Linked DNA regions of Mytilus edulis. Each later gene encodes a partner of the first gene's protein in a complex. Links are inferred from orthologs where the notes say so. Each region holds a gene or a part of one and is shown in the gene's direction. Other genes may lie near its edges. The genes, in order: ubiquinone biosynthesis protein COQ4 homolog, mitochondrial-like; 5-demethoxyubiquinone hydroxylase, mitochondrial-like.

Region 1 (10,849 bases):
AAAAGTAAGTTGTTGGAGATAAAATTTGAATAGGAATACTATTTATAAGTGAAATTAAACCAGTAAAATTCAGAATTTTGATTTATAAGATTATTTATGAAAAATATTTATACTGCACTCTATACATTTTCAAAACCAATAAATATTGTTAAACTTGTCTTTTTCAGACTTGCATGTTTTACTGACATTTTATATACCGGTACATGTAGCTAACTCCTAATGATATTTTGAGAAAATGAAAATACTCAATAAATTATATTTTTATCATAGGGTTAAGATATTTGTCTACATTATAAATATAGCTTAGAGATTTGTAACTAAGTGTGTGTCTTGTGATCTTTTGGTCTTTTTTTTAAATATTATTATATTAGAATTATCTTAGAATATTTTAAGGCATGTCTGCTATAATGCTTCCTCCTCTATCTACAGCTGAATTTTTCATTCAAAAATTTGCTGACAATGCAACTATCAATATTTGTAAAGTCAAAAAAAAAAAAAATTTTGATTAGTTATTTTTCCATTTTTTTACAAAAAGAAAATGTGAATTCATTTGCAGTCTTTTTTAGAAAAAAAAACCCAAACATCTTCCTCATATGATTCAGATATGAAGATTAACATTATTTAACTTTAAATTTTAACGATTCTATCATGGAACATGAACAAATTGTAATTCTTGTAAAACATATCTCTTTTTTATTCCACTTTAAGTTGATTGCAAAGGTTTTGATTAATTGCCAATTATTTTGAATATTTTTGTTAACTTTTTATGGCCAAAACATTCCATTACCCAAATGAGACCCAACTCTGTTGATTTTTTTTAATCAACCACTGATTAGTATTTTGTCAAAAAAAACAAGTTTGGGCATTAAAATCGGAGATTGATATGGCAAGGTATATAAATTTTATACATTTTCTGTATAGAAATTATGGTTACATATATTCATTCTGCGGTGCAAAGCCTGTATTTGTTTTATTGTACAGATGTAGGATATTATATCGTGTATGTACATTAAGTATATCTAATGGTGGATGTAGGATAAGAAATTTTTATCTTAAATGACCTGACGTCAGCATTGTAATTATTGAAAGATAGAATAGGTGTACATTAGATTTCTTAGAAAGAAAAAGTTAAGCTTTATTGGATGTTGTGACATAAATGAGGGGGATGACATGCTTAAGGGATGAGATATAATGACAGTTAAAAGTTTGATCTCTAAAAAAGAAGGAAAAGTAGTGGAAATTGGGGAAAAAAAGGGGGGTGGGGTGGTTGGCAAATGAATGCCAGCGCGTCATCCCCCTCATAAACTGAGCAGGGACAATGATTTTGTTGACAGTCCTGTATAGACGATTTTTTTTAAGATGCCAAAATTTGGGCATTTGAGGTCACCAAAAACCTACCGGTATTCAATTGACAGTTTAGATGTTGCTTCATTTGAACAGGATCTGCTAAATATCTGAATACAAAATTTTTTCAAAATCAAAATCATAAAAATCATTTATTCCATTTTCATTGCATCAGCCATTATAAATGTTATATTTGTACAAAATAACGGAAACAGGATTATTTCAGGATCTTTACTTAAAATGAGACTTAATATTTTCTTTTAAAAGTAATTTTACTAAAGTGCTTTCTTAATAATTCTTCTGTATTTTCTATTTTGAATTATAATTTTTGTCAGTTTATTTCCTTTTTCAGCTTTTTACATGCTTTAAATCTGAGACTTATAAGATTCCGTAATTTTATTTGAATAATATTGATCCAAAGTTAAAATTTAGAAAAATTACATCATTGGCATCTAATTTGTTCATTATGAACAACTGTAATTTTCCTTTATTTATGTGGCTCCCAGATGGGACCTATGGGAGAAAGAAGGATTTCTACCTTGCCCCTTGATGTCTTATTTAGGACCTGTTAGTACATTTGTGAGGGATTGCTGCCCTTTATAAGTACTTTCTTAGATCAACTGCTTATGGTTGAATAATTAAGTATCTACTAATGAAGGATAGTAATCCTGTCACACTTTTATTTAAACATTTTATTTGTTGGAACGTGACCCTGTGACCTAAGGGGAATACCCTACTGAAGCCCATTTTCTGAATTTTTACTCACTGTTTAAAGAAAAGTTTTAATATTATGAGAAAATGCATTTCCCGAAGTCTCATGGCCTCTTCAGATTAAGCTAGCAGTTTGAAACATGCTTTAATTTTATTGTCTCTTAATTTGCTTTAACAAAGCATTGTTTATGCGTTCAGTTTCATTTGTAGTATTTAGACGCATTATTATTACTTTTGCTATTAATTTTGTTCTGTGAACAGAATATTATTCTATATTTATTGTATTCCTGTCTTTTTGGAGTTTATCCTGAATAATCCTGCATTCTTTTGGAGAGTTATCATACTTTGAATCATGGGATACTAATTGTATGAACTTTAACAGGAAGTGTGTGTTGTTTCATCATCTTTGTCTTTTAAATGTTTGTATTTCAGATATCATATATGTATGTTATTGTTGTCTTTGTATTAATTGTTTATCTACTTAAATAAATTTAAACATTTCCCCACATTTTATCCTTGACTGAAAAATGGTGTACCGGTAAATTAATTTTCAACAAACTGTTTTGACTTAATTTGAAGATCTATTCATTTGATTAACGCTTTGCCATACTCAAGAGATGAAAGTTTTCCACAATACTTAAAAAATAAACAGTGTCCAAAATTAATTTAATAAGAACCACAGTCGTCAAGTAGTCCTGTACCTCCAATCATGTTTTACCCCTTATTTCATATTTCATAAATGGGCTGTGTAATTTTGTTGGCAAACAACTGCAATTCACTGTTCTGCAAATGGTTAAACTCTTCACAACTTTATGGAAGCATTTTTTTTCTAATAAAAGTTGAATTCTTATGATTCTTCTACTGCTGCATTGTCTGAAGTTTTGATTTAAGCTAGCTAGCGTAAGCGTACAGTACATTTATTTTGGTTTGTAGAATTTCCAGTATAGTAAATGCCTTTGGTGTATATCTTCCCCACACAAATTTCATTCAATTAGGAAAGAATCCTAGGGAAAGAAATTACTTGATGAGCTCGAATATTGAATTAATTCAAAGACATATTAAAAAATAACCCATTTTTCAGTCAAGGATTTTGGTGTAGTTTTACAGGATTGATTTTTCCTTTTCACTTATAATACTTGTTGTTTTCACAAATTTTGTGGATTCCACTGGTTTTAAAAGTATTTTGGTGCAATATATATGATCTCGATATGTGTTCAATATATATTTTTTTCCAGATCTCATTTAACTTTATCTGTAAATCTTTAAATATCTGATACCTTGAGGTAGTAAAAAAGGTTTAAAAGTTATAATAAATGTAAAGGGACATACATGAGTTGTACATGTATTAAATTCCCTTTTAAATTTTGGCATTATTATTTAGGTATTATTTAGACTTATTTATTAATTACATGAAATTAAATTGAACATATGATCATTTTTTTAAACAAGATTTATAAAAAATACTTATCATTTACTCTATGTACTTATTTATTTTTGTTTTGATAATAAATGGTGTTTTCATTTCATCAAGTCTTTTTATTTATCTATTGTATATGTGTTATGGATTTGCTCGTTGTTGAAGGCCTTACTGTGACCTATAGTTAATTTCTGTGTCATTTGGTCTTTTGTGGAGAGATGTATCATTGGCTATCATACCACATCTTCTTATATTTATATTGTATTTTAAAGATAGTCAGCTAGATAAGAGCAGAGATGGTATTTGAAAATCTTGTTTGATGAAAATTCAAAGTCAAGTGGCAAATATTACATACATTTTCAGGACAATATATGTGCATATGATATGAACAATCCTTCTTAATACTATACTTTATAAATATGTCCAAAGTAAGTCCAAAGAAAGAAATGTCATCATACCAAACACATAAGATAAGGGCGAAGGTTGGTACCTATCAAAACATTTGAATCTGCTGTATTTGTTTGCACTTGTCTTAAGTCAGGATCTGATGTTCAGTAGGTGTCTCTGGGAGTGTGGTTCATAATAGTTTCTCGTTTCTTGTTTTTTGTAAAGATTAAACCTTTGGTTTTCCTGTTTGAATGATTTTGCACATGTCATTTTTGAGGCCCTTTATAGCTTCCTGCTTTTGGTGTGATCCAAGGCTCCCTGTTTAAGACTGTATTTTACAAATTGTGACTTGGAGGGGAGAAATGTCTCATTGGCACTCAAACCACATCTTCTTATATCTACATAAATCTAAATGCGCCAACCAGTCTTTGCTCCTCCTACTAAACTCATAATGCTAATTAGAGAGGCAGCAAGTTTTGGTTTCGACCAAGCAGAGATTTAACCATCTTCATCCTACAGCACTTGAGAAAATTTGACATTTACCATTCGAACTATGAAAATGAGTTCAAGGTCAGACTAACCCTGCGAGACGACATTTACATCTTACAATTGATCCAAATATTGTTGACCTACTACTTTTAGTATCTAAGACTAAGGACGAAATAGATATGAAAAGATGTGGTATGAATGCTAATGAGACAACTCTCTCATCCAAGTCACAATTTGTAAAGATGAAAACTTAACCTTGATCACTTATCTGAGTTGAGGCCAAGGTCAGATGAGCCCTGTTTACATACAAAAAAAGACCTTGCAAGGATACCATATATCAAAAATAAATAACCTATTTATACTAATAAAAGTGAGAAATGCCCATCATAAAAAAACTACTGAAAATTGAAAAAGAGTTGAAAGAAAATGGACATATGCCAGACAGAAACATTGTAACATAAATATATGGTATCATTCTACAAGATATGAATCATTCAGCTCTTTTACCTTTTTGAGATATAAAGCTTTGTATAATATTTTATTCACTAGCCTAGCCGCAATGCCAAATACCAAATTAGCATTCTTATGTCCAATTCTCAGACTTGCGTTCAGGCAAGACAATACCTGGAGATAAACAATCCATATATATGTGTGCATGTGGTGCAGGAATGTTAATACATAAAAATGGAAAATTCATAATGGGATAAACAGTCAAGTTTTACTTGTCCTAGTACATGTTGCAGATATTTGACCTCTTAGTATATATTTTCATTTTTATTAAACTTGTGTATGGATTAGGAATATGATTATAATACACAGGGATACTCTTGGATTACACTCTGTCTCCATGTGCGGATTTTTTTTAGTGTTGATGACCCAGCAGTTTTCTTCTCATTGGTTGGTTGTTGTAGCTTTGACACATTCGCTGTTTCCATACTCAATTTTAGAGATGTACTGATCAAAACATATTTGTTTAAAAACAATTTTATTTATTTCCAAACATATATACACAATTAAGAATCATTATTTTTATTAGTTTTTTGGAATCAGTTCCATTCCACCATCAAGCACAACTTTCTTCACAGTTTCTCCTTTTTCAGCCAAAATTTCTTCAATAGTCCTTTAAAAGAATTAAAGCACAATTTTAATTAATTGCTTATATCAGGTGAAAGCCAGCATGGCCAGTTAATAGGACTTGAAGCAATAGACAAGAAAATGCATAACATTATATTTGAAAGAACATCTGTAACTACAGTATATTAGATAAGATATCTTTCTATTTGGATGTATGTGCAAGGATCAGGGGTTGACTAAACTAAACTATGTGTCCCCATTCAAATGCATTACTAGTTAAAAGAAAGAAAAGGGGGGTCCATCACCCAGACCCCCTGGATCCGTCACTGGCATATACATGTAGGTATTTTTATAAAGAGTAGTCTTAATCTTTATTTCATGTTGATGTTTATTTTTTTTTAATATTTTGTGGGGGTTTCATTCTGAACTGTTATTGTTAACTGGTTAAGTGAGAATCCTGTATCCCGCTTCTTGTTGCCATAATACATGTAATAGCGCATGTGATTTCCAGTGTTCTGCCATACTTTGTTTCCCATTTTCACGCTTAATTATTGGACTTAATTCAAGTATCACGCTTAAAAAAAATGGGCCAATCCTGCTTCACACTTAGACCCCTTTTGAGAATGGGCCATGCACTGAAACAGAGACATATATACACATGTATATATGTCTCTGACTGAAAGTAATAATAAAAAATGTTTTACCTTCCTTTGAAATCTTGAAACCAGCCAAGATGATCAGCAATCAAGTGATTACTTTTACATTCTTTACAAGTGACAATAACAACCCCCTTTTCATAAGCTTGTTTAGAAAATGTTTCTTGGTTTTTTGTTCCACAAACTTTACATTTGTAAGCCATGAGCAGTGTTCCTTTAATTTTTCCTAGTGTCTGATTTGATTGTGTTTGTCCTTCATCATCTTGTTCACTACTGTAATATCTCGGTGAACACAATATCCTATTAGGGAAAAAGTATCCAATATATCTGCCATCTACCAATTGTTTTTTGAAGGTGTTGCTACCTTGCAAACTTGTTTGAATACCACTTTTCAAACTAAAAGTTCTTAAAATTATGTTGCATTTGTTGTTACACATATAAGTTGTCCGATTTGCCTCCTTAATAGCTGCATTTCTTAAGAATATTCTTACAGGATTCATAATTAGTGTACTTTCATTTTAATATTTAGCCAAAAACACATGCAACATCCGGTTCTATGAGCATGCGCGGAATGTACAGACATACAAAGCGAAAGTAGAAAAAGGGAACAAAAATGACATCTAGCTTGACATTTACAAGGTGTAGGGTTTTACAGAAGTTGACACAACGAAGCTGTCGACTTGTTAGTCAGACATGTAGTATTGGAACATCAAGCAATCATGCGCCAGGTACTTTAAAACTACTTTTCATTACAAAAACGTGAAAATCTGAAAATTGATTTTCAACCAAAATAATTAAAGGTTACTTCAGTGTAAACAAAGCATAAGTGAGGCCCCTCATGGGGGGGGGGGGGGTCCTAGTAATCACATAATCACCATTTTTTTGCCAATATAATCACATAATCATTAAATATTTGCTTATCTTTAGTAATCAAATAATCATTAAGGTTCATCATAAGGAATTGAAAAATATGGCCGTGTTTACACCTCCAAAATTACTATGAGTACAGACAAACTGGTACATCCAGGAAAGTTTTAAGGCATGGCAGGAACTAGATATATAAAAGTTATATGAAGTCTACGTTTCAGAAAATTAAAAACTTACCTGGATTTTGATGTTCATTTTTTTCCAGTCTGCAGAAGATAGCAAAATAAACAAACACCCGAGTTTCATTTGATACGGTCCACTCAGTTACACAGTTTAAACCTGTTAAATAACCTATTGTTTACAGGTGTCTATTGTCCATCTATTGTCCATTTAAATCAATACTACTCACAACATTGATTATATGAGGGGAGCTTCTCAATCGTTTTCACTACTTAGTTAATTTTTGAACCTTCTGCAGGAACGAAAAAAAATGAATAGCAAAATCTAGAAAAGTTTATAATTTTCTGAAACATAAAATGCATTTAAAATTTATATATCTAGTTCCTGCCATCCCTTAAAAATGTTGCAGGTGTATAGGTTAGTCTGTACTCAGAGTAAAATTCGGGGTGTAAATACGGCCATTTTAGCCAAAAGGTTATGATGAACCTTAACTAAAAATACAGTCCTAGGTAATCAAATAATCATGAAATATTTGGCTTAATAATCAAATAATCATTAAAAAAACGGCCAAGTAATCACATAATCAAAAACCCCATGAGGGCCCTCATAAGTTGAAGCTGTATATTTTCTCTTTCACAATTTTTCTGAAAATTTTGGTTATAGAGATTAAAAGCATGTAATGTGTATTCCTATGCATACTGTTAAGTATGTGAATAAGACCGCAGGAGTTTGAAATCCTATCAATAAGGGAGCTACCATTTGATTTTTATGGGGGGGCTAGGATGAAAATTTTTGACCTGCATTTTTTTTTATTTGTAATCTCTGTCCTGCCTTTTTATTTTTCACTCTAATCGGTCCTGCCTTCTTTTTTTTTAGTTTATCGTGACTTTTTTTACCTAAATTGTCGTTCCCCCCCCCTAAAAATCAAATGGTAGCTTCCTAAGGGGGTAAAAATATAACAAACTCGACTATCACAGTAGAGCTTCTCTTGCTCTCTTTTCGAATGAAGCTCTACTGTGATAGTGGAGTTTCTTATATTTTTACCCCCTTTATATTGATAGGATTTCAAACTCGTCCTGTGATGAGACCTTTGGTTTTGCGCAGAACTAAAAATAAAAATTTCTGTATAAATATTTTCTTACCATCAGTGTCATCAGCATCCTGCAATTATTTCAAAATCTCATTTTTCTAAGAACCATTCAGGGTTGGAACGCTGTTCCTCCTTGTGTTGTATCAGCTGCATCAGTCAAGGCCTTAAAGCCTTGATAACAAAGCTGAACTAAACTAGTTTGATTCCCGGCCCCGGGATGAAAATTTCAGGGAATGAATTTTCAGCTCTCCCTTGTCACCATTTGCAAGTATGGTCTTGAGGATACGAAGATATTCCATCGGGAGATGAAGATAAATGGCTAGACTGTGATAAGAGAGAGCCACATCTCTTGCACATTAAAGACAACATTGAAGATTTCGAAAAAAGAGCAGGCTAATGCCTCTACAAGGCAGCACTTGCACCCGCAATGTGGAAAGGGATTAATATAAGTTGCAAAACTTGTTTTTTCAGTCCACTATAAATAAATATGTTTAAACTAGTGAACTAAATTTTAAAAAAATTAAGAGGAAGGGGAGGCATGTTCAGTAACACACACGCTTCAGTTATTCCCTATATAAGCAACCAAATTTTTTTCCAAAAAGGGGCCTGGCCCCCCCTAATTCCGCCTCTGACATCACAACATAGAAAGACACACTATAAAATATCATTTGAAATGGCTTGATCAACTCAATCTAAAAGACATATTAACGCAAGTGAACATTACAGTGTCTGAACGAATAAATTTGATCTATGACACAATGTAAATACAAAACCAATATAATAAGAGGTGAATAAATAAAGGCAACAAAAGTATAACACTGTGAGACACTGTAAATATAAGTAATTTTAAATGATAATACCAAAATCTAGTCATATATATATTTTCTTTTACAGCCATTTGTACTTTCTTTTAAATTAGCAGTATCTACTTTTAGTCTTTTTTCATTTGGCATTTGTCAATTGTAGAAGAGGAACAAGAACCTGACGAAGAAAGAGCCCTGCAGTATGATGATCTTTATCCTGGACACATCCCTACCACATTATTCCAGAAAGTTTTATTATCAGCTGGATCAGCAGCAATGTCTTTATATGATCCGAGAAGAGATGGTAAGAAAAGTGCCATTGGTTAGGTAAAAAAAAACTAGTAAAATTTCAGCCTGCCTTTTCACCATTCCAGTAGTCAGCACTTCTGTGTGGACTTGAATTATCATTGATAATCAGATATGGTCATATCTATTAATTAAATGTTTACAAAACTTTTGAATTTTTGAAATACTAATAAGGCTTTTCTACCTCAGGAATAGATTACCTTAGCGGTTTTTGGCAAAACTTTTAGGAATTTTGGCCCTCAATGCTCTTCAACTTTGTATTTTATTTGGTTTTAACCTTTTTGGATTTGAGCGTCACTGATTAGTCTTATTAGACAAAATGCACATCTGGCGTAAATACAAAATTTAATACTCGGGTATGTATGATGAGTTTATTCTATAGATAGTTTTTATCCCTCCAGACCCCAAAAAGATGAATGATTTTCTCATAGATTTTCCAACCTACTTTAAGTTTGAGCTCCAACTATACAGTGACATTTTTGAGGATTTATTTAAGTTTGTTCTCATACCAACATCATGAACATATCACTCAGTAAAATTTTAATTTTAATCTTTTCTATCAAATGCATACCTCTAATATCTAAAACTCTTATAACGGAGAAAAAACTCAGAATTGTTTTAAACTCCTCATTGTTAATATGTATGTTAGAAAGACAGCAATGCTCTCTTCGTGCTCACCAAAACACTGAAAGTGCTGTTGGAACATGAAACATCAATTTTTGTTTGTTAATTTATTTGTTAATTTATTTGTTAATATATTTGTTAATTTATTTGTTAATTTATTAGTTAATTTATTTATAATTCATCTATTGTGATAAGTACTGTGTTTAATGGTGGTGTTACACCTTATTTAAAATAGGGGATTTGTGCAAAAACATCAAATAGATTGATCTGATTATCAAATAGATATAATCTGTAGTTATTTCTAAAACTAATGTTAAATGTCATTTCAGATATGATATCCACTCTAGGGGAGACCACAGGATATTTTGCTCTAAAGAAAATGAAACAGAAAATGTTGGAAGATCCTGTTGGCAGAAAAATTATTGAGTAAGGGTCTAACAAATATCGATAATTTTAACAAAAAATATGCCATGTTTGATTGATGGTGTTAAATGCCACTTTTAGTAATATTGGATAAATTCTGAGGCCACTTTTTTTTTGGTTGAGGAAGCCAGGGTGCCAGGAGAGACGTAATCAACCGTCAACTGCTTACTGAATTTTTCTCATTGTTCATGGCTGTATCTTGACCTATACTATAGCAGTTAAATTTTATGTCATTTGGTGTGTTGTTTCATTGGCTATCATACCACAACTTCTTATTTTTATATTCAGCAGAAAACTTGAAAGCGTTGTTGAATGCAACTGCCACTACACATCCATTATGTATCAGAGTTTGCAAACCAATATGAGATATATACATGAAAAAATCTAGGGAAAAAAATAATAAATAAAAGAGTGAACACAAAATATAGAGATTGGTAGACATGTTAATCACTTTATTAGAGTTTTATTTGCTTTTTAT
Region 2 (11,160 bases), on another chromosome or scaffold:
TCTGTATGTTGTGTAATTTCAGAGATCTACTTTATATTCCAACATTGAATTTCTACATATTCCATAATAACTCAGGTCTGGCAATAATACTTCAGACTAATTGGAATGGAAATACTCTGCATCCCACTGAGGCAAAACTAATCCTTTGTAAAATGGTCAAATAGCTGTAATTCTATCTAAAACAATAACTTACATATCATTTAACCTAATTAATTTTATACAAAAGATGTCTATTAATTTTATATTCTGTGAGGATATATTCATTTTATGAAATTACTGTGAAAGTGAAAGGGCATTAAATAAAATTACAAAAGATTTAAGTCATATATATTTCATTTTACCAAATATATATTTATCAATAAATTGAAGTGAAATACATTATTAACTTTAAACTTTATTGAAAAGTTAACAAGCACATGTTTGAAACATCAACTCACCTATTAAATAAGTGTCTAATACTATACTACATGTAATAAAACATATACCATTTGGCTGGGAAGTAATATATTTTTTATCTTCTTTTTCAGCTTCGGGTTAGGAAATAAGGTTATTTCCTGACACTTTATATATTAAACAAATGTAGTATTCAGTACGGTCACTATCATACATATAATTTAAGTGCTTTTCCTGTACTTTTCCTAAATTGTTATTTAGAATTCACTGGTTGAGAGCTCATAAAAGGGGGAGGGTTGTTGAAATTTCAATCACAATAGGTGTTTATTATTTGCATCTGTCCTTAAGTTAATACAAATTGCTACTTTTAAAAGAAAACTTCAGTCTATTTTTCTGAACTGAGAGCAGGATTGCTTTTACAAAATTCCTAAAAAAAACCATCAACAAGAGTGCACATTGCTGAGTTGTCTCACCTGCTTTATAGATCAGGATTGAACTTTTATGTTGAAAGTCTAAAATATTAAGGTTTTACACAGATATCCCATCCAACTTTATAAAAACATTATAAGAACCATGATAAGGTTAAATAGTGATATATGACCTTGCCAGATATGTGCACCTACCAAAAGGGTTTAATATGTTGCAAAATGGGAATCATTTAATGTGGGTCTCATTGGGGTCTAAGCGTGATGTGGGATTGACAATTTTTTGTAAGCGTGACACGTGAAAGTCACATTATTGTGCCATGAAAACAGGAAATGAAGTCTAGCGGGAAACAGGAAATTACAAAAAAATGAGAATTGCGTACATAGTGCAACTGGGTAACGGGAATCTGACAAAACAGTAAGGGGGATCCGGGATCAGAACCTCCCCAATGAGACCCACTTTAATTAAGTCTCAATTCTAATAGTCACAATTTGTCAAAAAAAAACAAACATTAATTCTTTGATATATTCCTTTCCACTATATTATTCCAAATTTTTGCATTTTTTTTAAAGTTTCAACAGTTTTACTCAATTTTCCTCCCGTTTTTATGTTTTAGAATAATAAAATTGAGAATGGAAATGGGGAATGTGCCAAAGAGACAACAACCTGACCATAGAAAAAAACAACAGCAGAAGGTCACCAACAGGTCTTCAATGTAGCGAGAAATTCCCGCACCCGGAGGCGTCCTTCAACTGGCCCCTAAACAAATATATACTAGTTCAGTGATAATGAACGCCATACTAATTTCCAAATTGTACACAAGAAACTAAAATTAAAATTTAAAATATGTTTACTTTAAATACCTGCTCATTATGTTACATCCTTACATTCATTCCAATTTGTAAATTATCTCCCTTGAAACTGTCTAAAACAGCATATTTACATCTATTGACATTTTATATTAGGCGTTTACTGTAAATATTATTATAATATGTATATTTTATGTCAAATCAACAAAAAATATAGTCCTTGATCATGATTTACAACAAAAATCAAGAAATGGTATTAGTTTTGCCGTAGGTAAATTGCATAAATACATAAGGTATGAACCAGATGTTTACAACTCTATTGTATAAAATACCAAAAATAAATATATGATATGGGAAAAAAATTGTTTATTTAAATGTTTATTTTATCAAGGCATGAAAAAAATATCAACAGATAAGTAAAAAAAAAATTTGAAATCTCAAAAATTAACTTAAAGATGCATTGTTCTAAGCTACCAGACAATTTTTAAATAAGGCCAAATAAAATAATATGTGTGGTTCCAGTTACATCTAACAAATATTAGGGTAGGTCGGTAGGGATTTTTAAAAAGTTTTGTTTTATTCTTACATTGAGTCTATGGGAAAAACATTCTGACTTTAACAGTGCTAAAATGCAAAATGGCAAAAGACTTTAGGGTAGGCTATTATAGAGACTAAAAAGTAGGGTAGTAGGGTACTGGAACCACGTGCACACATACATTTTTATATGGCCTTATTGAAATAAAATCCTTCGCAGCTTGATACGTCCGCAAGTATTGACACAACATTCACGCTTTGAAGCAGCTCTTAAATATTGTCCTGAGGCAAAGGAAATGCTTGTTTTAAGCTCTTATTCATAATTAAGCAGTTGGAACAAAATACCTTTCTTCCGTGGTATAGAACCTTGTGGTACAATTGCATACAGATCCATACATATATATATTTAAGTTGTTGTACAGAATCCAAATGTCTTTGGAAAATTTTGACGGCCCAATAAAATACAGTTTAAAAACAAGGATAGTTTGTATGATTGCCACTGAGATTTACTTTCACCAAAGACTAAAGGGACCAAACAGGAAAGTCAAAATCTAAGACAAAGGTTGTTATTAATTTACAACCTCATGTTTCAGTGCAATTATGTAAATCAATGAACTGGAAATCTACATGACTAAAATAACTACAAAAGTACTAAAATGAATAAAAGCTCTTTAAAACTGGCCTCACAAAAACATTTTGGAAAGTATGATTTTATAATACTAGTAAGTTTATATTGTGTAAAAGCAAATCACTGGTACTTTTGACCACTATCAGTCCATTAAAAAATTTCTGGTCCAGTCATACATGTCATAAGGCCATTTTAACTTTAATGAATGGAAGATATCAATATACCCTCAAGGTTGATGTGTATTCAATGATAATATTTGGTTTAGATTTAAAGGGTTAAGTAAATATTCACCCCAATTCAAAAAAGTTCAACAATCTCTTGTGTATATTTAAATGGCTAACACATAATAAGTAATTGTTAATTAAATGGACTTATATTAAGTGTCAATAGCCATAATGATTAGCAGGCTAAGCTACTCCAAACTGTTAATGTTAATTGATTTATGCTAATCTTGCATGCCCTGTTATGAATCTTTAACCCTACCAGACACATCAAAAATTATCAAAATGTGATATGGGGAGTATCAGCTCAACAAGACAGCAACCTCACATCAATAAAGAAAAAAACATCTAGAGGCCAATACACAATATAATTTCTTCAAGCAAAGACCACTGTTGAGGACTTTAAAATACTGTGGATTTGTTTTTTTTTGTGGGTACCTATTTTTTGTTCATTCAAGGTAAAACTTGCATTTTCGTAGATATTTAATTACATGATTTACTACAGTGACTGCTTATATACAAACCTACATTTTTTTGTAAAAGAACATTTTTATTTCAATAGATATTACAAAATGTATTAGTCCCATAGGAAAGATGTGCCTTAAAAAATAGCTTGTTGCACATGACTAGCATGATTGCCTCCTGTATCTAAGACATAGACAGAAATAGGGGGAAAGGGGAGATGGGGGAATGGGTCTGGAAAGGATTCTGAATAGGATTATTGTTCTCTTCTTTTTTTTAGCCAAGAAAACATGAAAATTATATTTTTTTATTGTTCCCCTTTTTCTGTAAAATTGAGAATGGAAATGGGGAATGTGTTAAAGAGACAACAACCCGACCAAATAAAAAACAGCAGCAGAGGGTCACCATGTATTGTGAGATTAATCAAATTACCAACAAGAATGTGTCCATAACCCAGGGATGCCCCATCCACACTATCACTTTCTATGGACCGTGAAAATGGGGTAAAATCTCTAATTTGGCATTAAAATAAGAAAGATCGTTTCATAGGGAACATGTGTACTTAGTTTCAAGTTAGTTGGACTTCAACTTCATCAAAAACTATCTCAACCAAAAACTTTAACCAGGAGCAGGACAGACGAACAGATGCACAGACCAAAAAACATAATGCCCATAAATGGGCCATAAAAATATTTACTGCAATTCTTGGACATCAATATAATCTTTCAGAATTCATACATCTACAACAACAAAAATTATTTTATAGACATATTAAGTTTTTAACTCTTGCACCCCTTTATGACTTTAAAAAGTTAAATGTTTTTTAAATATCATAATTACTTATTTGAATTTAAAACATAACAAATATTGACTGTAATTGGCCATCATGAGTATCAAGGTCGTTTCAATTATAAAAATAATAAATAAAATATATGCTATATTGTCATACTGAAAATTTAAAACCTTTTCATTGTTGTAATATTTGTCTACAAAAATAGCATTTACCTGACGTTCCCAGTAAATTCAAAAGACTTATATAAGACATTTATCTTACATTATAATAAAATCCGATGATTTGAAACTTCTGCACTGATGCACAATTATGATCAGTCCATTAATTTCATACACATTTTTTACGAGAATAATAAAATCATTGTCAAAACGGTTAGACTAGTCTTATGCTTGAAGCAATTAAACCTTTAAAAATCAAGATTGGAAGTCATATTATATCGAACTTCACTACCAAATATGTCAATAATTTCAAGGCGTAACACATAGTAACAAAGAGGATGTGATTCGCCTTTCTGATTTTTATCACATTCAGATATTCTATCATAGTTCGATTTAACATGAAAATTGGCATTACTAAGTTAAAAGCAAGTATTAATAAGCCATTTATAACAAGGTTTCCATATTAACAGCTCAGCTATCCAGGGTTTGTTTTACTTTTGTTTCTAATTGCCTGGGGTCAATTTGATTTTAATCTTGGTGTTATAAGATGAAATGTTCTTATCTGATCCTCCATAGAAACTGGCTGCCACCGAACAGCCCACATAGTCTGACAGTACAGAAAGAGGAATTAAACACCAAAAAATCAATCAATCAATCTTATTTGATCCAATCTGATAAACTGGTTTAAAATGATATAAGGTTTCCAATTTTCTTTTAGAATGTTTAGTCCCAGATGCTTTGGCGAATTAATGTGGGACATTCCAATGCGCCAGCAAATCATAAAAAAAAATCTTCAGGGTTGAAACAATTTTAAGACTACATTGTCTTCCGCAGGACTGAAAGTTTTGAAGAGGGTTAAAATCCTGACCCTGTAGAAACCTTTAGTCTCATTGCAATGATCTTTACATTTTTGTACATAAACATTGTACTGTAACAGTTGATCATGTTAACAACCATTAATTATCCCTAAAACAAATAAGGTCTGAGGTATAATGTACATGAAGTCCTTAACAACTTTTGGTTTGATTTTGCAATTGGCTAGTTGTGATGGCACTGTTGACACAAATCTACTGTGTACAATGACACAATTCTGTCTTTGACAGGTAGTATGTCTATGAGAATACAATATGAAGCACTATCAAGATCAATATTTCCTAATTTTAACAGCAGAAATCAGCACATTGAAGTGTTAATCAATTTTATGTGAGTGGTCACTCTAAGGCCAAAACAAAAATTACTTATGTAGTGGTTAGAACCTCTAGGTTTTTAAAAAAAACATAAAGTGAATGGTCATTGAAAGATGTAAAACTAAATTGGCTAGTTGTCTCTTGAGAGATGTCTTAAAAATAGAAATGTGTGTGACACTGTGTGTACACACAATTCTGATGCCACAGGCTGGAAATAACAAAAAAATGTGGTATGATTGCCAATAAGACAACTCTTCACAAGAGACTAAATGACACGGATATTAACAATTATAGGTCACTAAACAACCTTCAACAATGAGCAAAGGCCCATACCTTATAGTCAGCTATACAAGGCCCCGAAATTGACAAATGTAGAACAATTCAAACCAGAAAACTTAAATGGCCTAATTATATTTTTAATGTACAAAAAAAATATAATGAAAAATATTTATAACCGAGCTGAGCAACAAAATTGTTTGGTTCAACTAAAAGACCTGTAAATGTGCTACTATTTACATGCATTTTAAATAGTCCAATATCAGAAATTTTTGTTTGAAATTCTCAATAAATACCTCAATAAAATCTTTTTAATTATGCATCAATTTTTAACATGTATAAAATTATAAATACAAAATCAATATTTGCATACCTGAATTTTGAAAGCATCTAAGAATGAAATGCATTATTTAAATTCATTCAATGTTCTAATGATTTGTAGTAATTAACAGACATTTCATTCATACTTGACATTGACATTGTATATATCTGTCAATCACAAAACGAAAAAGAGCATCTTTGATTGAAACATAAATAATTATAAATTGAATAAAAATTCCTTACCTAATTTGTCATGTCAACTTCTAAATCGTTTTTATTTACTCTTTCTCAATCGTTTTCTGTGTATTATGTGAGTTCTACATCTGATGAAATTTCCCAATACACAAAAATCTAACAATTCCATTCACAAATTCTGACAGCTCTTGCTCTCAGCTGTTTCATCAAAATATTACAATTTACTGATATTTGATTGGTTAAAAAATAATCTTACAATTTTTATCAATGGGTAAAAAAATAAGACGTTTTCGTAACAAATATTTTGCATTGTTGATGAATTAAATAAATACTTTCTAACCAAGGACATGTACTCAATTTATTGAGTGATTTAAAAAAAAAAATGTTTATAATATTTTCTCCGAGACTTCAATATGTCAGCGCCCATATTTATAGCAGACGATTTACGTAACTTTCTTCAAGTTTTGATGTCTGTGGTCACATAGGACAGAAATATCGATAATACGACTGTAATTTATTTTCTATGAGAGGTTAAAGCACATATTTAATTAATTTAGATTTTAAATTTTTAGTTGTTATATATGAGAAATAATTCAAATATGATAACATGGTCTTGGTCACGTACAAATTATAAAACTGACCTGTGCAGTAGAATTGGTTTGTACCTACAAGTTTCAATACTGTTAGTTAGCATATCTTTGTGTCACGAGATTTAAAGTTTTGATGAAGGTCACATCATCCTTGATATTTTAATCTTGATTTCTGTAATAAATTTCTGATGTAATGTTTTGATTTAATTTCAAACACTGCATAATAATTGAGTGGGGTTGGAGGGTTCCTAATCCCGAAATCCCGGGCTAAAAAACATGAAATCCTGAGGTCCAGAATTTAAAGAAATTTAAATCCCGACATCCTGAAATTTGAAAAAAGAGTTCCCGGATCCTGAAAGGATCGATTCCGAAATCCAGAGTTAAAAAACACCCAATCTAATACACCTTATCGCTATTTGTCCGCCATTGCTGGAAATCACACAGGTTCCCGTAAAATTTTGACGTCATAAAACAAAATGTCTGACGCCACAATGAAAAAGTGATTGTTGTTGACGTCAAAAGTTCAAGCGGACGGGTCAGCCGGGAATAGCGATAAGGTGTATTAAAAACCGATCTTTCATCGCTCCTGTTTCTGATATGTCGCGTGGGAGATCTAACGAAACCCGCTTTGAGGTCACATGTGAGTGACCTCGTAGGTGTGTCTTTTTCGACCAATTAAATTGAGTCTTCCACGATCTTGGAAGTTTAACATAAGGCAAAGGGATGTAACTCATTTTATTTACCACGAAATCGTCAGTCATAATAATTCATAAACTTTTTTGATTGGCTTATTAATAGGTCGTCAACTCATTTGCATATCTTTATAAATTCATGACTTTTAGTTCACTCACATGTGACCTCAAAGCCGGTTTCGTTAGATCTCCCACGCGACATATCAGAAACAGGAGCGATGAAAGATCGGTTTTTAATTAGATTGAAAAACACCCGATCCCGACGACCCGAAAAAGGTCCTGCCCCCCTCATAATGTCATTGTCCTGAAGTTGACGACACTACATCAACAGACTTTAAATTTACTTTGTTTATTCTTAACTTTGTAATCATACTGAACATGCATGAAATATTTGCCACTGGACATTACATCAATCAATCAAATTATCTTAGCTTTAATGTTTGTTTGCACAACTTGAATCCCTGCTTGGGGGTCCTAATACTAATAGGGATACTTACATGACAAAAAACAGTTACTATTAATCTTGCCAAATTGTCATTTACTGAATTCACCAGTCTACACGGTTAGCCACTAGTCCGATGCCCCAGACTAGTAAAATTTGGTTAGGACTAGTAAGTTTTTGCAAAACTTTGTTTGGCCAAATAACAAAAATGTCAGAATATTGGTCTTTTGACTAGTAGTTGAAAAAGTTTTTGGTGCAGACTGTGTGACCACAAAAATATGGGTGAGTTGTCAGGTATGGCTAACAGTAACATAAAATGGCATTCTTACCCTTCTGCCTTGAAATCCTGTACCGGTATATGCTATGCTCGTTAACTTCTTTTGTCTGGTAAGTATCATTAGTAAACGAAAATGAAAGACTTACTAGATGACCGTAACCAAACTGGAGGAACTTCTTCCATGGTCTCCATGGAGTGTGAAAATTTGATACAATCTTCAATTACTAAACCACTATCATCCTGTTTTATGCCCCATCATAGGCAACAGGGTATCAAGTGCTACCCTTGACTGTCCATCCATCTGCCCCTTTTTTTGTTTCCCCACTCTGACTTAAGTTTGTCTCATTTAAATTTTCTGAAACCCATACACAATACTAAGAATCAAAACTTGCAGACAGAGCTCCAGTTTATGTAGTGAGTACTTTAGATTCAAGAGATACATGTAGAGGAACATACATGTAACAAGAGACCATATAACAAGGAAATTAGCAACTATAGGTCACCAAGGGGCCTTTAACAATGACCATACTGCATAGTTAGCTTCATGCTTAAAAGGCTTGGAAATGACAAATGTAAAACAATTCAATTTACGGCCTAATTTATGCACAAAATAATGAATACTTTGATAAAGGAAAAACAAATATGTTACACAGCAACAAATGACAACCAAGTTTCCTTGAATTACAGGCACATACAGAATTGCCTGAGGGAGTTAAAACCCTCATTTCTTTATAATTTCAAAATTTATAAATGTACAATTTTAGTAAGCCAAAGTTTGTTATAAATCATGTCAGTACTGATGATATCATTTGGGATTGATAGTATTAACCCATGGCCAGTGCTGTAAAAAAGGAAAACAACAGTTCAACAGTTTTTTTGGTTTTTTTTAATTCAATAAATCAAATTTTTATATTGTAAATGTGTCTTTCTCAACTAATTTTAATATGGTAACATATATTAAAGCTGTTTTCAGCTGTTTTCAGGTCTTTGATGGGTTGTTGTCTCTCTGACACATTCCCCATTTCCATTCTTAATTTTAATTGGTATCACTTTTATCGTTATTAATTCCCTTTATAACATTGTTTATACAAGTGGGGTTATATCATCTGTGACCCACAGACATATCTCCATTTATTTTCTGATTTACTTTTACCATTTTATTTAACTAAAACAGATAATTTGTAAAATGGCTTCAAGTTCACTTGTACGAATACCATGTCGTTGTATGAGCAAGATGGCTAGACAGAAACGCAGTAGAGAACTTGTGGACAAAATAATCCGTGTGGATCATGCAGGAGAGCTTGGCGCTGACAGAATTTACCAAGGACAGCTGGCTATATTGGGGAATACTTCCGTAGGACCAGTTATAAAGGTAATTATTGATGTGTCCAACACAGACTTTGGAGCAGTGACCGTGATCCTCCAACCCTAATGTCTTTTTATTGCAACCTTTTGATTTCAAGCACTTGATCTTCTCTGCATTAATCTTAAGTTTTGTGATAATATGAAGTAAAACTTTTTTATAAGTTTGGAAATAAATCATATTAAAAATTTTCATAGATAAATGTGATTATAGCAATAAAGTTTAGACCAGACAAAGTTCAAAGTTAGGTTTTTGAACTTTGTATGTAACGTTCAAATGATTCAAACTCAAACATTAAATCCTTTTGATTTTATTGATACATATATGTATCTAATACTTTTACAAATTTTTGTATTGAAATATCAATGACAATGAATTGTGCATATTTGTATTTTTATTTAAGGATTTTAAATTGGAAATAGAATGTATTTTGCATCACTTGTTTGATTGGTCAACTTAATTAAAATCATTGTCTTTTTATAGTAAGAGCATGCAAGCATATCCAGTCATTTCGATGAACTGTTAAATCTACCATTTGTCTACAGGCCCAGAGCTCAATTTTTGAAATTTTTTATTTTGATTCTGTTGGCCTGTAGATATGATTTTTACAGGCCCAAAAGCAATTTTACAATCCTGGGCTGTCTGGGCTGCCACTTAGCATGAAAGACTGCATATCTAAATACAACATATCATTTCAGAATTTTAAATTTGTTTACAATAGTTTCTAAAATGTAGAAATATGGAAATCCTCATGATCAGTTTAAGAGAATACATCATGATTCTTTTCAAAATGTATTTTTGTTATGTAGCCTTGCAAAAAATTACTATAGCTTCAATCTAATGGACTAGAGAATTAAGTTACTGTATAAATGAAGGCAATTGCATTTTTTGCTAATTTCAAAATTGTTAAACTATAGGACATATAAAAGCTGATAAATGTTTATGTTAGAAGCTAAATTGTAACAATGGAACTTCAAAATTTAGCTCATAGTTTTCTGTGCACTTGTTCTGCTTTTATGCACCTCAACTGCACACATTTCAGTCTGTCAGAACAACTGTTAAACAAGGCAAAACTCGCATAAAGAAAATTTTGTATTTAATTAAGAAAACTAATCAGATTTACATGGTCTTCTTTCAAGGTTTCAAGCGAAAATCAATGCCTTCTATTTATCAGACTCAATTTTGTCTTAATAAACAGATTCATCACAGACGTTCAGTAATATTGTGGCATTGCATTGAACTGTTATAAAAGCATAAAACCTAAAGCTTTAGGTGTAGCAATTGGATATTAGTAGGCCCACACAAAATTATTACAATGTATTATTGTGTAGATAATATGATTATATACATGTGCATATTAACGCAAATGAGACTAGGAAATAATTTCAATTTA

Evidence for each region.
Region 2: ubiquinone biosynthesis protein COQ4 homolog, mitochondrial-like (region 1) and 5-demethoxyubiquinone hydroxylase, mitochondrial-like share a complex: the UniProt entries of both Caenorhabditis elegans proteins name them as parts of the multi-subunit COQ enzyme complex. The link is inferred for Mytilus edulis from reciprocal best matches to the Caenorhabditis elegans genes coq-4 and clk-1.

The regions. Positions count from the first base shown.
Region 1 is NC_092356.1:28,601,382-28,612,230, reverse strand, and holds the start of ubiquinone biosynthesis protein COQ4 homolog, mitochondrial-like, read left to right. Parts: upstream 1-6,641; 5' UTR 6,642-6,691; coding exon 6,692-6,806; intron 6,807-9,181; coding exon 9,182-9,322; intron 9,323-10,277; coding exon 10,278-10,374; intron 10,375-10,849. Other genes in the region: DNL-type zinc finger protein-like, read right to left, coding at 5,381-5,468, 6,127-6,578. UniProt on the Caenorhabditis elegans protein: Lyase that catalyzes the C1-decarboxylation of 4-hydroxy-3-methoxy-5-(all-trans-polyprenyl)benzoic acid into 2-methoxy-6-(all-trans-polyprenyl)phenol during ubiquinone biosynthesis.
Region 2 is NC_092352.1:83,474,404-83,485,563, forward strand, and holds the start of 5-demethoxyubiquinone hydroxylase, mitochondrial-like, read left to right. Parts: upstream 1-6,798; 5' UTR 6,799-6,912; exon of another isoform or gene 6,913-7,372; intron 7,373-7,926; exon of another isoform or gene 7,927-8,296; intron 8,297-8,362; exon of another isoform or gene 8,363-9,578; 5' UTR 9,579-9,590; coding exon 9,591-9,776; intron 9,777-11,160. UniProt on the Caenorhabditis elegans protein: Catalyzes the hydroxylation of the 5-methoxy-2-methyl-3-(all-trans-polyprenyl)benzoquinone at the C6 position and participates in the biosynthesis of ubiquinone.